Mytilus edulis: one gene and its partner. Each later gene encodes a partner of the first gene's protein in a complex. Links are inferred from orthologs where the notes say so. Each region holds a gene or a part of one and is shown in the gene's direction. Other genes may lie near its edges.

Region 1 (7,347 bases):
TAAATTTTGTACTAAAAGAGTTATCTCCCCTTAAATGACTCATTTGAAAAAAAAAAATGATTTTAAAAACCAAAAAGGTTGATATTTGTTAAAATATTTTGAATAATACAATAAATTAGCAAGTTTTCTTTATATAAATAAACAGTCTAACCATTAAATTGCAAATCTGTTTCCAAATTTGCTGATTTGGGCAAATAACTATACCGATTTTGTACTGTGATTGTACAATCCAAGATAGAAGAGGGACGAAAGATACCAAAGGGACAGTCAAACTCATAAATCTAAAACAAACTGACAACGCCATGGCTAAAAATGAAAAAGACAAACAGAAAAACAATAGTACACATGACACAACATAGAAAACTAAAGAATAAACAACACGAACCCCACCAAAAACTAGGGGTGATCTCAGGTGCTCCGGAAGGGTAAGCAGATCCTGCTCCACATGCGGCACCCGTCGTGTTGCTTATGTGATTACAAATCCGGTAAATAGTCTAATTCGGTAGGTCAAATTCATGAAAGGGAAGGGGATTGTAGTTACGACGTGAGGAACATATCTGATATCATTTGTGAAATGGTTATTCCATAACGGTCAACCAACTCGTGATGGCGTCCGTAAAATTTACGAAGGGATGATTTCAACTTCACCATTTGGAACTCTTGATTTAATAGCTTCCTTGTGAGCAGTAACCCTCTATCAAGAAAATCATGATAGGAAATGCAAGCACGGGAATATCGTATCAATTGAGAGATATATACCCCGTATGCAGGTGCTGCTGGAATGTTGCTACTTAGAAATGGAAAGTTCACAATTGGGAAGCTGAAATCATCTCTTTTGTCGTAAAGTTTTGTCTTCAACCGACCCTCATTGTCCATTTCTAGATGTAAGTCAAGATATGAAGCTGACTTAACATGATAGCGGTACCATGAATCTACCTTAACCTGTCAATCATATTTGTAACGTGTGCAAAACGAGCTTTAAGCGTGTATTGGGCGTACTAGAAACGTATGTTGGCGTATGTTGTATGTTTTTTATACTGCATACAAATTTCCTGTGATTGTAGCGTTCATCAAGCGTATTTACTTTCCTTCATTGGCTAGAGGAATAGGGGGAGGGTTGATATCTCATAAACATGTTTATCCCCGCCGCAATTTTGCGCCTGTCCCAAGTCAGGAGCCTCTGGCCTTTGTTAGTCTTGTGTGATCTAGTATACATATCTTTTAAGGGGTCAACTGAAGGACGCCTACGGGTGCGGGAGTTTCTCTCTACATTGAAGACCCATTGGTGGCCTTGGCCTGCTCTATGGTCGGGTTGTTGTCGCTTTGAAACATTCCCCATTTCCTTTCTCAATTTTACCTTTGTATTTAGACGTACTAAAAACTTATGCAACGCGCTTTGGACTATTGCTAAGCGTTCCTATGGCATGCAACTAACGTATACCGACTTTGTAAATTTTCTCTGTACGTTTGGTGCACGCAGGTCTATACGCCAATGTGTGACGCCGGCATAAGGTAATCTATTCCTGAGGTAGAAAAGCCTCAATATTTCAAAGAAAACGCATGGAATTTAACCAGCTGCATTGCAACATATGACAGATTCATAGATGTTACAGACTTTGAACAGACAAAACAAAATAAGGCTGATTGATAACTTGGCGTAAATAATAAATTCGTGCGAATTCGAGCGGCCAATCAGTCCATATAACGCTATATTGAAGTGACACACCCTTCAATGAAATACAAAGAAATAAAATTAAAATAAAAGTTCTCTTTCTATAAGGATACTGTTGCACCGTATTGTAATTTTTTCGTCACAAGTACATCTCATTTTTTTCAATGTGAAAATATAAACTAAAGGTAGTAAGACTATTGTCGTGGCTAAATAACTCTTAACTGACACGATTTAAATTGTCCAACCCATTAACAGACTGTATTCCCCTAATATTCATTAAAATGTGGTATTACTCAACTTATATACCAATTATGAAATATTTATCAATGACAATTATTTTTTTAGAACCAAAGTACTATTTTGTGTCCTTTAAATCATATATAAAAATGTCTTTTAGCCTTTTATCCAAAATATTGCTATGCGTACAAGCATAAAAACCACATACTTGCGAGACGCCTTTTCGTTTTACTTAAAACTGCGCAGGCTATGTATTTTTTTTACTGGTGGAAAATGTTCTATGATAGATATCATTTTGTCAGACACTTTTCTTTTTTTGATGTGGTTCTCATAATATGGCAAAAATCTATATATTTAACAGAGTTTAACATTAAATTTTGAGTTTTACTCTTAACAGACGTATAACCAACCCGATTAACAGACCAACCGCCGATATAGCCGCATACTCAATATAGATTAACCGACCAAACTCTCGGTTAGCCGAGTGTCGGCCGTGTTCTAGCGATCCTTCAATTATTGAAGATTATTCGCCGGGCGTCGACTATAAAATTTATAATTTACACTTTAGCAACAAAAATCAAAAATAACAAAATCAAAAAATCAACATAACGTATTTACATTTGAAAAAATGAATTGTAATAAAACTATATACATTTGATAACAGAATAGTTAGGGATAAAATATGGGGATGAGAGCAGATTCTGAGATCATACTCTTGAATCCCTGTACTGTACTGCATGATACTATTTGTTGTGGCAGATGATTCCAATTTATAACAGTTCGTGGATAAAATGAATATTTATAACTGTCTTTGGATGTTTGTATTTGCCTAAATGGGTGTGGATTGCTATGTCTGGTTCTATTGTCTAGTGGGATCAAAAGGATATGTGTAGGGACTGCAACAATTTCATGTATAATTTTGTAAAAGAAAACAAGTCTGTATCGTAAACGCCTAATTTCGAGTGGGTACCAATTTAGGTCTGTCATCATTTCAGTAACTGAGCTGGTGTTATGGAAGCGGTTGCATGAGAAGCGTGCTGCTCTTCTTTGAACTTTTTCGATTTGTGAAATTTGCTGTTTTTGATGTGGGTCCCAAATTGTTGAGCAGTACTCTAATTTTGGTCGGACAAGAGCTTTATATGCGTGAGCTTTAACTTTCGGTGATGCTATTTTTAGGTTTCTACGAATAAATCCAAAGGACTGGTTTGCTTTTGATGTCATGTTATCGATATGTTTGTCCCATTTTAAATTTGATTGAAGAGTTAGGCCTAAATATTTTGTAGAGTCGACTTTTTCTAGAGAGTGATTGTGTAATTTATAAGTGAAGTCTAAAGGTTTCCGTTTTTGAGTTACACTGAGAATGTTGCACTTATCAGGGTGAAAATGCATGAGCCAGTCCTGCTCCCACCTGCCGGCCGCTTCTAAGTCAGACTGTAATTTAAGTGTGTCATCTGGTTTTTTAATTTCCCTATAAATAATGCTATCATCTGCAAACAATCTTAATGTACTATGTTCAATATATTCTGCCAAATCATTAATAAAGATTAAAAATAAAATTGGACCAAGCACTGTGCCTTGAGGTACCCCAGATGTTACAGGAATTGTATTTGATGTTTCACCTTCAAGGACTACTGTTTGTGTTCTGTTTGTTAAGAAATCTTGAATCCAATGATATGCATTACAATTTATACCGTAGAAACCAATTTTATACATGAGGTGGTGGTGTGAAACTTTATCGAATGCTTTTGCAAAATCCATTATTATGATGTCTATTTGGATGTTTTTATTATTTGAATTTGCAAGATCTTGAATAAATGATATTAGCTGAGTTTCACAGGAGCGGGAGGATCGAAAACCGTGTTGTAAGTCATATAGAATTTTATTTTTTTCCAGATGTTTCATTATGCTACTAGCTACAACATGTTCTAATAGTTTGCAGCAGATGCAAGTCAATGATATTGGGCGATAGTTTATGGGATCGTGTTTGTCGCCTTTTTTGAAAGCGGCTGGACATACACTTGCGTGACGCCAGTCGTCTGGGATCTTTCCAGAGTTCAGTGATGCTTGAAATATGATTGATAAGATGGGAGTGATAGATGATTTACACTCTTTTAAAAATTTTCCATGGATGAGATCAGGCCCAGCGGCTTTGTTGATATTGATATTATTTAATAGTTTTTCTATGCCCTGTTGTTGTATCTTAATATTCAGTATGAATACGGTTCCTTACTTGGAAGAAGAAGAAGAAGAAGAACATTTTGAAGTTAAGAAGTATTGTGTAGAGGTATATATATAGATAGATTTCTTAATCAAATTTGGTAGTTTTATTGTTTTTGGCATACTAAATATTTATATGTTTTTAATGATAAAGCACAACGCGGAAATTATCGTCTCCGATCCTGATGTTTCTAGCTCTTTTTCAACTTCCGGTTATCAGCATGAGGGAAAACTGGGAAAATGCAAAAGTCAACAAAAATAATTGAACACAAATTCCCTATTTTGATTAGTTTTATTTGATTAAGATGTCTGCAGAAAGTCAGCCAACCCCTCTGTCGACTGCTGCACAGTTCTTCATGGACGAAGAAGAGGGCAGCACGTCCACTTACGATAGGGTAACAACGCATAAAAAATGTGTTTTTTTTCTTTCTGCACTGCTACTGCCACCTGTCAATACATCAGGGATCACCTCTACCTAATCTAGTGTGATACACTGAATTTCCCTCCACTGCCTTTGATAATTATTTAACACACTAAATTGTTGGCTGCCACGCTTCAAATATAGATATTATTTTAAATACCCGATATATTTGACCCAATAGGCAATAGGTAAATTTCCAAAGTATTCAGAGCAACTGAGTACAATGCAATTCACTAGCAAGCGACTGGGGCAATAAAGTGGCTTGCTCATCCCTTACTTTGCTATGTCTGACCGTCAAAAGAGATACTTTGTACAGTGGAGTCCCCGGTGTCCGCGCGGCCGGTGATACAGCGCATAAACTGATTTCATTATATCAACAAGGTAACACAAATAAAATTGTTCTTGTTATTGTTTTAACATTCCAAAGGGATAAAAAAGAATAAAATTGATTAGTTCCAGATGGAAATAATAACTGCAATCCCGTGATTTACAATATTTGGCCAATGTCCATTAAAAAAAAATACAGCATCAGATAAAATTTGTTTTACTTACATGTAAGTCAAATTTTTATCAGATTGAAACAATTTTTGCGCCATTGTCAAATGACCCCCACCATCGTTAAATTGTCCAGTTACAAAGAAAACAGTTGAACAAGTCGAACACATGCATTTATTTTGACTTACGCAATCAGCATCCCACAAGTACAAAATAAGACGTAAAACAGTAATTATTATTTCATCGCAAATAACTCGAGTACTGCTGTAACGATAATATAGAATTACTTTCAAAGTTAAAAAAAAGTGAAAACTTAATATTTCCTGTAAAGAAATATCATATCTATTTTACGAATTCATTTCGTAGTTTACAATCAAATTGATACATCTACGTTTCCGGTTTTTATTCAGACTCGAAAGATGCATGTTGCATAGCAGTAATTTGCTAGATAAAGTCATTAAAAACATTTTCATTTGTCAACGTTTGCTTTACAAATATCTTTAACCTTTTACATAACCCAAGTGTACGAATCGTTTTGTTGTTGCTGAAAATCAGCCATACTGGTAATGCCTAGCTAATGGGTTCATGACTTCTGAATTTGAGTGTCAGTGAAAAATAACCTCCACATGATTTTTAACCCCCATAACAATTACCAAAAATAGCAAGAAAACTACATGGGGACCTTCTTGACAGCTTTTGATCATTCTCTACAAAGGGGGGGGGGGGGGGGGGGGGCATGAAGGCTTGGCATTTGAATGGTTACAATACTAACGCCAATTATTGAAAATATTTATACTTCTATAATGAAAATTCAAATAAATATAATTTAAATAAGCAATGAATTAGCATGTTCACCATTCTTTATATGGAGGGATGAAATATATTCGATCACGCTACACTGTTCAGCATAGACACGTGGTGAAAGTTCCTCCATCGTTCAATTTTCATCCATGGAGATCCCTATAAAATGAAGTTTCTGCTGAAATATTTGGAAGTGTGGTCTAAACTCTACAGGCATATTAATAAAACACATAGTTGATTGTATCACAATTTTATTGTTTTGTGTGTTAGGCTACAAGGCATGATTATATTCAGCATTACCTCCTTATGTCTGTGAAGTTTTAAATTGCACCATCGAAAGGATCAGATAACAAGCAATAAACATTGTTGAACGAACATGTTGAAGACTGGAAGAATTGCCATTGGAAATAATATGTTTTTTTATATATTTAATATCAATAGAAATTAGCTTAAACTGCAGTTACACAAAAAATGACATTGTTAAACAGAATCTAATGTAAACAGCTTGAATAAACCTTCTTAATATGAATATGGTTAATAACATAAAAAGGGTCTGATAGTGGCTGATTCATGCGTGTGAATATAAATGTTCAATAAACTAAAATTGTCCATAAGATAAAATTTGTGAGTGATTGTACTTTCTCCTGAGAAATCATCCAAAGTTAAGTAGAATTTCAAAATTGATATGAGAAGGTGAAAATTGACCTAAAATATTGAACAGTCATAAGTTAAACATGTTGAAAGTAATTCTAAATAAGGTACTGAAATAAATTTTAGTAAGTTGTCTACACTTCAACCAGCGTAAAATTGAGAAAAAAATTTCAATGTTTCTTGTGACAATTTTAAGATTATTATTTCAGGTTGTTGAACTGGTCAACCAGGCTACTTTGATGCAAAAAGATGTTCAAAAGATTGGTAATTTAAGACAGGTATGTTAACAATTGATTGGTAAAGATACAATTGTAAATTTGAGCAGGTAATATGTATGTAGATAACTACCTCAGTGCTGAATGTAGATTGTTTGGTAATTTAAAAATGGGAATGATTACCAAAGAGTAGAGAGAATGGAAATTTCAAACATGATATTTATGACTTAGATAAATTATATACATTTTTGTACATGTATTTAATTGTTTTACCATGTGTGTTCATTCAAGACTCACACTTTTGTTTTCCAGGTTTTACTTACTCTTGCATTTCAGATATGACTATACTTACAATGTCTTAACATAAGTACCAGATAACGTTGCACCACAACATTCTTAAGATGAAATAAAACTACATATAAATGTACATGTAGATTTCTTAAACGATTTTGTAAACATCAATCATCTGTTGATTATATAATCAAAAGTTGACCTTTGAGTCATTCTTTTCATTTTTACTTTGATTATTCTCCAAATTATCAAAATTCAAATGTATATTTCCTTTTAATGATTGAAAATTAAGTATATGCTTCAGAAGTGTATACAATTGAATTTTGTGTGTAATCAAATTAATGGCA
Region 2 (7,680 bases), on another chromosome or scaffold:
GGCATAAGATTTGTTGTTGTGATGGGATCATTAGGTCGCCCAATTATTTAATTAGTAAATATTAAAAGAGATTTTTTTTGTTGCCTTCACTGTTCTTTAAATCTTGAAAATGAATTTGCTATGTTGTAACTGTTAAATTCACATTGCTTGATGTTCATGATGTTATTTTTGTTTGTTATAGATTTATCAAATAATGTTTTTTCATATACAGACATTGTTTCAAAAAGTTCATGTCCCATGCTTGCCAATAATGAAAAAAACATTGAGTCCCATTCCTGTAAACACTGCAAAAATTGCTTGTCCCATTACAGTTTGCACCGGTCCCATGCATCAAGAAATTTTGACCGGTCCCTAACAACTAGTTTGTTTCCCGGCCGTTATTGAAATTCTTGACATTACCTTAATATTTGTATGTTCCGAAGGCATACTGAATGTTTTACGGAGGGGACCAACCTAGTCAGTAACAACGTACTATTGTGAATTATTTTTCGGATAATAATCTTTTAGGCATACATTAAAAACGGTGTCATTGATAGGCAACCATGAACACAATGAAAAATGAATCCGTGAAAGTGTTCCATGTTTATTCCATTCAAGTAAAGACTTGTTATGATTATACCATATATTTAACTAATTTATAAAAAAAAAACAACAAAAAAAAAAAAAACAAGATTATATCTTAAACTTGTAAATCCAATTTCAAGTTTTAAAAGTTCCTCAATTAAAAATAATACATGATATATTTGCCTGATCTTATATTTGTTTAATTAAAATAATGCCTTCATTAAAAACGGTGTCATTGATAGGCAACCATGAACACAATGAAAAATGAATCCGTGAAAGTGTTCCATGTTTATTCCATTCAAGTAAAGACTTGTTATGATAATACCATATATTTAACTAATTTATATAAAAAAAAAAAAAAAAAAAAAAACAAGATTATATCTTAAACTTGTAAATCCAATTTCAAGTTTTAAAAGTTCCTCAATTAAAAATAATACATGATATATTTGCGTGATCTTATATTTGTTTGATTAAAATAATGCCTTCAAATACATGTAATGTTCATTTTTATTCAATTTTCCACAAAACATTTTAGCTTAGTTTAAATGAAATTCAGAACAGAGAATCCAAACACTGTCGAAGAGAATATACATATTCGTGTTAATTTGCCTCAGTTTAATTTGTTAATTCATGTTTGACATTTAACATTTTAATCCGCAATCCACATTTACCCGACAATCTTGTATATTGTATTTTCTCAATGAAATAACCTAACGTGCATGTGACCATCAGAAACTAAGACAAAAATGATATTTATAATGATATTTATCAAAACTTAGATATTTCGAAATATCTTAGTAGCATAGGAATTTGCCAAATAAGCGAAGAATTATAATCTACCTAGGATTTACAACCAAGGATTTGTATAGTTTCTTTTCAATAAAATATTGTTGGTGTTTTTGGCGACTATAGCAGCAACATTGCCGTTATTAAATAAAAATATTAAATTTTCGCTATCTGATAATTATAGCCGCGGGTTAAAATGTTCATTAAAATGTATAATATTATACTATAATGGGCATTTTAGAATGACATGAAGTTCATCTTCAATAGTAGAGCTACAACACATGTCATCTCGTGGACTTCTTTTCTTTCATACTTTCCAGTTTCTATTTTTTTAGTGGAGCTACCCCACATTTAAATTTTGCAAAAACACATTTGTTTTTATTTGACAGAATATTTTTAACAAATACCAGTTGGCCAACAGTATATTTTTAAGTCCATTTTCGCTCAGTTGAATAGAAATTCCAATTTTAACTCTTCTGTCGTAGAAATGTCAATATCATGTTATTGTTTGTACGTACAACATGTATCATTATATCAAAATGTGTCAGTCCCAGCCAAGATTCACCGAATAACCACAAAATCTTTACAGATGATAAGATATTTACACAAAAAGTCATGAATCTGTATGAACTTTATATGTACGATGAAGTTAATTAAGAGTCTACAAGAAAGTAAGTATGACTGTAAATTTTATTTAAAGTCGGAACATACATATATATTATATATATATACATATACTTTAACCGCTCTATAACCGACTATCATATAAAAACCGCAATGTATGAACGTTAAACAATTAGAGATGAACGTTTCACAAATGCACGTTATCTGATCTACACAATTATACACGATTGACGAACACACGATACACGTTTAAAAATACAAGATTGATGAACGCACGATACACGCACGATACACGGTTAAGAATGAATGTTTGATGAGCGCACGATACACGCACGATACACGCACGATACACGATTAAGAATACACGATGCACGCACGTTACACGGAAAATACACGGAACGATGAATGATGAACGCACGATTGGTACACGCACGATACACGCACGATGCACGCACGCAACACGCACGATACACGATGAACGCACGGAATAATGGTCAGTTTGAATTTTAGAAGGTCTGTAATACTCCCGTAATATGCATTTATCGAAGTTTGGGTCGTAACCTTTTTTTCCCTTGCCCAAAGGAAATTGAAACCCTGTACCAAAGGGTTCGTTTGATACTGCGCAGTATCAAAGACGTACAAAGTAACTGATTTATTAATCAAAGGTAAACCGAGTGGCGTTTCAGATTCTAGCAATTGCACAGAGCACGTACTTTTGCGAGAATAATACTGAAATGCTGACAATTTATTTATACTAAACATAAAAGTTTTAGCAGTCAGCTTGATAGAGCAAAGGAAATGCACACTCTATAAAATTGAAACAAAAACAAAAAAAGGTCAACTTTCCTTTGAAGGATTTATTGAAACAAAAACATGAAATATAATTTCCTTTCTAACAGTACAATTCATTGTTCTTGATTGGAACAACATTAGATGTGGCTTCACCCTAAGGTAATAACAGTACACACAATGTGGAACATCAAATGAGATTAATTAAAACGAGGCGCGTGTCCCCTGTTTTATTGCTACAATAACATCCAATTTATAACACCTTCAACTTTGTACAAGCGTCAGAATATACAATTACACGCGCCAGAATATACAATCATTGTAAATAGTGAACACCTGTTGAAAACTCAAGATTGTCATTAATTTCCTTTCATCTTCAATCAATGATAAATATCGTTTAATGAGGCAATAAACAATTAAAAAGATGAAAACATTCACATTTCAATTTTCTTTTCCTCTTGTTTGATTTCAGTTCTTTGTATTTCACAATTTGTGTCAATATTTTCTGGACAATGATGCACAAATAATTCATTTTGCGAGCTTAATCTATATTGCACGAAAAGAGTTTTAAAAAACAAATTATAAGATAAATAATATGTTCTAAAACACAAGGAAAAGTAATCTCATAATACAATAATTAAACGTAATACTGGCTGTTATACCAGAGACATATATACACACCTGTGAATCAACAGTCACAACTCTAATTAAGGGACTTATTACCGGAAAATCGGACACACATAATTTCACTGTGTAATTTAAAAGGAGCAAACTATTGCAAAGATATGCGATAAAGAAAAGTTTCTTGTAATAACAATTGATCATTACCAGATTTGAATTTTTAAATTATATGAAATGCAGAAAAAAATATTTTTCTCAATAAATACATAAAAATGAATATAACGATTTCAAGTAGGTTTTTTTTAGAAAAGAAATTATAATATGATCTGAAATAATTTCCCCATTGCTTTTCTTGATTATCTATCGAGGTTATTCATCCCTGACTTGATTACATGTTCTAATATTTATCGACGAGAATCTCATCCCGGGCCGCGATCTTTTACGGGATTTCACGGAGTTGCCAATCTCTATGTATATATGTCTCTGGTTATACATAATAGATGATAAAATATTATGTAAATAATGTTTCATTTTTTTTTCTATCAATTTTAACTTTCTTGTCGCTAAAATTATTTTCTTTTGCATATTCTTTTAATATTTATTGCAATAATGAATTTTATTTTAAAAAAATATGTTTTCTTGTCGCTTCTTGTCGCCAAGGATTTGTCGCTAAAATAATTCTTGTCGCTTGTTGTAATAATTCTTGTTGTCGCTAATTAGTGAGACCGAGGATTTGTATTACTATATAAATCCTTGATATTATCAAACACATCCTTGTCATAAACATATAGCAGGAGAAAAAGAAAAAGAAGAAAAATCAAAGATAATGTAAAAAATAGAGGATCAGATCAAGCCTCCCCTTCCCTTCCTCACACCATTTTTTTTATTATAGCAATTCAATTCAATTCAATATTTTATTTACGTCTCACCTTATGTATAAAATTACACAATACATTTATAAAAGATACATTTTGTATACATAAGCCAATCTGTACAGATTTATGAGAGACGATAATCACTTAAAAGAATATGTATATGTACATAATAAATATTAAACCTAAATGGTAAAATTATACAACAAAAGTATTTAATTATTATTTACAATATAAAACTTCTCGGCGTCGTTTAAGAATAAAATTACAGGTTTTGGCACATAATCTTATAATATCTTGATTCGAAAATAAAAATACCATTTTCTGACAATCTGTAAAACTATTAAAATGTTCATCAATTTTAAGAGACTCAGTAAAAAGAACTTGTCTAAGATCAAGAATTCGTTTAGCAATCTGAAATCCGAAAAATTGTGCCTACATCCGACATCCGGTTAAAATAAACGGAACATTTGATGAAAAATTTGTCGTATCAATCATCAGTAATCTGCACATTTTAAGGGTTAATTCTATCTCTTAGGTTTCTTGATTTCGTTCACTTTCATAGCTTATACACTTAGATTCTGCTTTCTCGTATCATTGTCAAAGTCATAGCGAGAAAAGTCTAAGGAAATAAACAATGGGCGTAGAAATGAGAGTCGCTGTTGTCTGTTCGAGTAACCAAAACAGAAGTATGGAAGCTCATAGCTTTCTAAGGTGAGAAATGGTTTATAATGGGATAACAAACACTAATCGATTCACGGTTTCAATCCGAAATAAGGGGGTGGGGTGCTTTGTTGACATATTGGGTCAAGGTCAGAAGTAAGGGAGGTAATTCGTTGATATTATAATTTGATGCAAGCAGTTTCTATTCAGACATGATTTTCACTACAATCAATTGCAATGTAAAACATAATAATCAGGAGCTATACTCTTTATACCAGAGAGCTAAAATAAAAGAATAACTTTCAAGTATGACATCACAGTGGCGGATCCAGAACTTTTCATAAGTGGGGGGCCTCTCCAGTCATGCTTTATTGATTCCTTACATAATCAACCAAATATTTCCCCCAAAAGGGGGGGGGGGGGGGGGGGTTACGGGCACCCCAGCCCACTGGATCCACCTATGCATCAGGACAACTGCTACACTTAAAAAAGTCTAAATAATTCATTATTTTTACATTAAGGTTCATCATAACAAATGGACAAATATGGCTGTATTTTCACCTTAAAAACTACTCTGTGTACAGACTTACCTGTGCTGTTTGGAAAGTTTTAATGCCTAGCATCCACTAGATATATAAAAGTTAAATTCATTTTGTGTTAAAGAAAGATAAAATCTTTTTTGGTTTTTGCTGGGCATTTATTTTCCTTTCTGCAGAAGGTGTAAAAATAAACAAACACCTGAATTACTTTGATACTGTCCACTCGCTGACTCAGATGAACTCTTTAACTCACCTGTAGTTGTGTAGCTGCGGAACCGTAGCTCTAAGGTCCTTATGTTATTTTTTGACTATTTGCGGACCTTAGAGCTACAGTTCCGCAGCTAGTAGTTGTTAAGATACCTCTTGTCCATGTCAATTAAGGACAAACAAAACAATACAAACCGGTTTTTTACCTGAGGGAGCATCTCATAGTTGTTCCACAGCTTAGTTAATTTTCAGAATTTTTCAGGAAAAAAATGCCCAGCAAAATCCAAAAGAGATTTTATCTTTCTAAAACACAAAATGCATTTAACTTTATTATATCTAGTGGATGCCAGGCATTAAAAGTTTTCCAACTTCACAGGTAAGTCTGTACTCAGAGTAATTTTTGGCATGTAAATACAGCCGTATTTGTCCGTTTGTTATGATGAACCTTAATTGGCTGATCTCTTGTTTTTTGCTTGTAAAGATTTAATAGTCTGACAGTTTTCGCAAAACACTGATGTACTCAAATAGGGCAAACTCAGTATGAGAATGTGTACTAAACAGAAGCTGAAGACGTGTCGCCCTGTCTTGACAAATTATTCTGACTCCTGGTTAACCAGTCTTGCTTTTACTTCTAGCAAAGAAGCAGCAAATACCAATACTTTTAAAGTCTTTGGTTTGACCCAGCAGATTTTAACTTGTGTCAGTGTCGTGTCTACATTTCGGTTACATGACAGATTTAACTAACTTCATGTACCATATCCCAGGAATAGCATATATTTCAATGTCTCACTCTGTTTCAAGCTGTGACCTATGGATCATTTTTTTTTGCATTATTGTATATCTAGGGGCATTATGTTTTTCATTCTGCATCTGTCCATTTGTCCGTCTGTCCTGTTTCAGGTTATTTGGTCAAGGTAGTTTATAGAGTATTTAAAGTTCTTGAAACTTAATACATGTTTTGTGTTAAGATTGAAAGAGATGCAATCAAAACTTGTCCAGAATTGTAATTGAATCAACTTCAACCAATGCATTATTGACCATGCATTACTTAATTTTACTTTCCACTGTGTGCTTACATCATCCATTTGTGTTAAGCAGTTCATAAAACACTGATAACTTGTACAACATTACAATGCGTACACAACATATAGATATATATAATTAGCTAAAGGCTAGTGGTCAAAGGTATAAACTGTTCTTAGAATTAATCAATTTACTTCATAAACCATAATTGTGTTTGGATGACAACAATTGTGAGCCACTTCAAAAACATTTTATTTCTCTTTAAAAAATAAAGCAACAGTCATATGATAACAGATGCAAATCTGAAAAGTTAAAACAGTGCATAGAAAAAAAAACCAAAAAGCTTGACTGTACATGTAACTTTGTATTTCATTGTTATATAGCGCCTAGAAAAATTGATGATTGTCACAGGCCCAGCGACATTTTTAAAAGCCGGTTAAGCATGAAAACTTGAGCATTCTTATTATTTAGTAAACGGTTCGTAATATAGTATTGTTTATTTTCATACACCTGTTTAAGACGGGACATATTATGGTATACTGTTGTTTGTCTGTTCGTCGTCACCACTTCGGACAGTTTCTAAAAAACGCTTCCACCAACTTTTATGAAACTTTGTTGAATTGTTTATATCTATTGATGTAAGCTCCCTTTCAATTTTTTATATATAAATTTCAGATTTTTCGATTCCATGTTATAAAGTTTTATCCTTAAAAAAAAGGGGGATTTCCAGTCCTCTGACAATACATGTAATTCAAAAATGCTTCCATCAACTTTAATGAAACTTTGTGGAAATGTTTATTGTGTTTATTTGATGAAATGTTTATATCTAAAGACTATTGACGTAAGCTCCCTTTTTGATTTTTATAAATTTCAGATTTTTCGTTTCCATGTAATGGTTATGAAGTTTTATCCTTAAAGAAAGGGGGATTTTCCAGTTTTGTAACAATAACTAAAAAATTATCTATTGGTGTATGCTCCCTTTCGATTTTTAT

What was found. Proteins that work in one complex are often made in the same cells at the same time.
Region 2: the proteins of symplekin-like (region 1) and RNA polymerase II subunit A C-terminal domain phosphatase SSU72-like are in contact, whole or in part, in a crystal structure (PDB 4YGX), measured with the Drosophila melanogaster proteins. The link is inferred for Mytilus edulis from reciprocal best matches to the Drosophila melanogaster genes Sym and Ssu72. Residues at the interface, in NP_649580.1 of Drosophila melanogaster: Glu91, Ala117, Lys121, Gln125, Gly128, Ser129, Glu169, Asn170, Asp171, Gly172, Thr175, Asn176, Lys179, Phe180, Arg198, Ser240, Ser241, Val242, Ile245, Ala246, Ser249, Thr281, Ser283, Gln284, Ser286, Ser287, Lys290, Met294, Gln295; in NP_001285455.1 of Drosophila melanogaster: Glu114, Tyr117, Asp118, Val121, Met122, Glu125, Glu128, Ser129, Val130, Asp131, Asn132, Arg133, Pro134, Asp168, Asp170, Asn171, Asp174, Gln178, Glu181, Val187, Ile188, Leu189, His190, Ser191, Val192, Phe194.

Annotation. Positions count from the first base shown.
Region 1 is NC_092346.1:102,303,766-102,311,112, reverse strand, and holds the start of symplekin-like, read left to right. Parts: upstream 1-4,323; 5' UTR 4,324-4,431; coding exon 4,432-4,521; intron 4,522-6,703; coding exon 6,704-6,772; intron 6,773-7,347. UniProt on the Drosophila melanogaster protein: Component of a protein complex required for cotranscriptional processing of 3'-ends of polyadenylated and histone pre-mRNA. Involved in germline stem cell transit amplification, differentiation and mitosis-to-meiosis transition.
Region 2 is NC_092356.1:11,118,957-11,126,636, reverse strand, and holds the start of RNA polymerase II subunit A C-terminal domain phosphatase SSU72-like, read left to right. Parts: upstream 1-4,679; 5' UTR 4,680-4,893; coding exon 4,894-4,970; intron 4,971-7,680.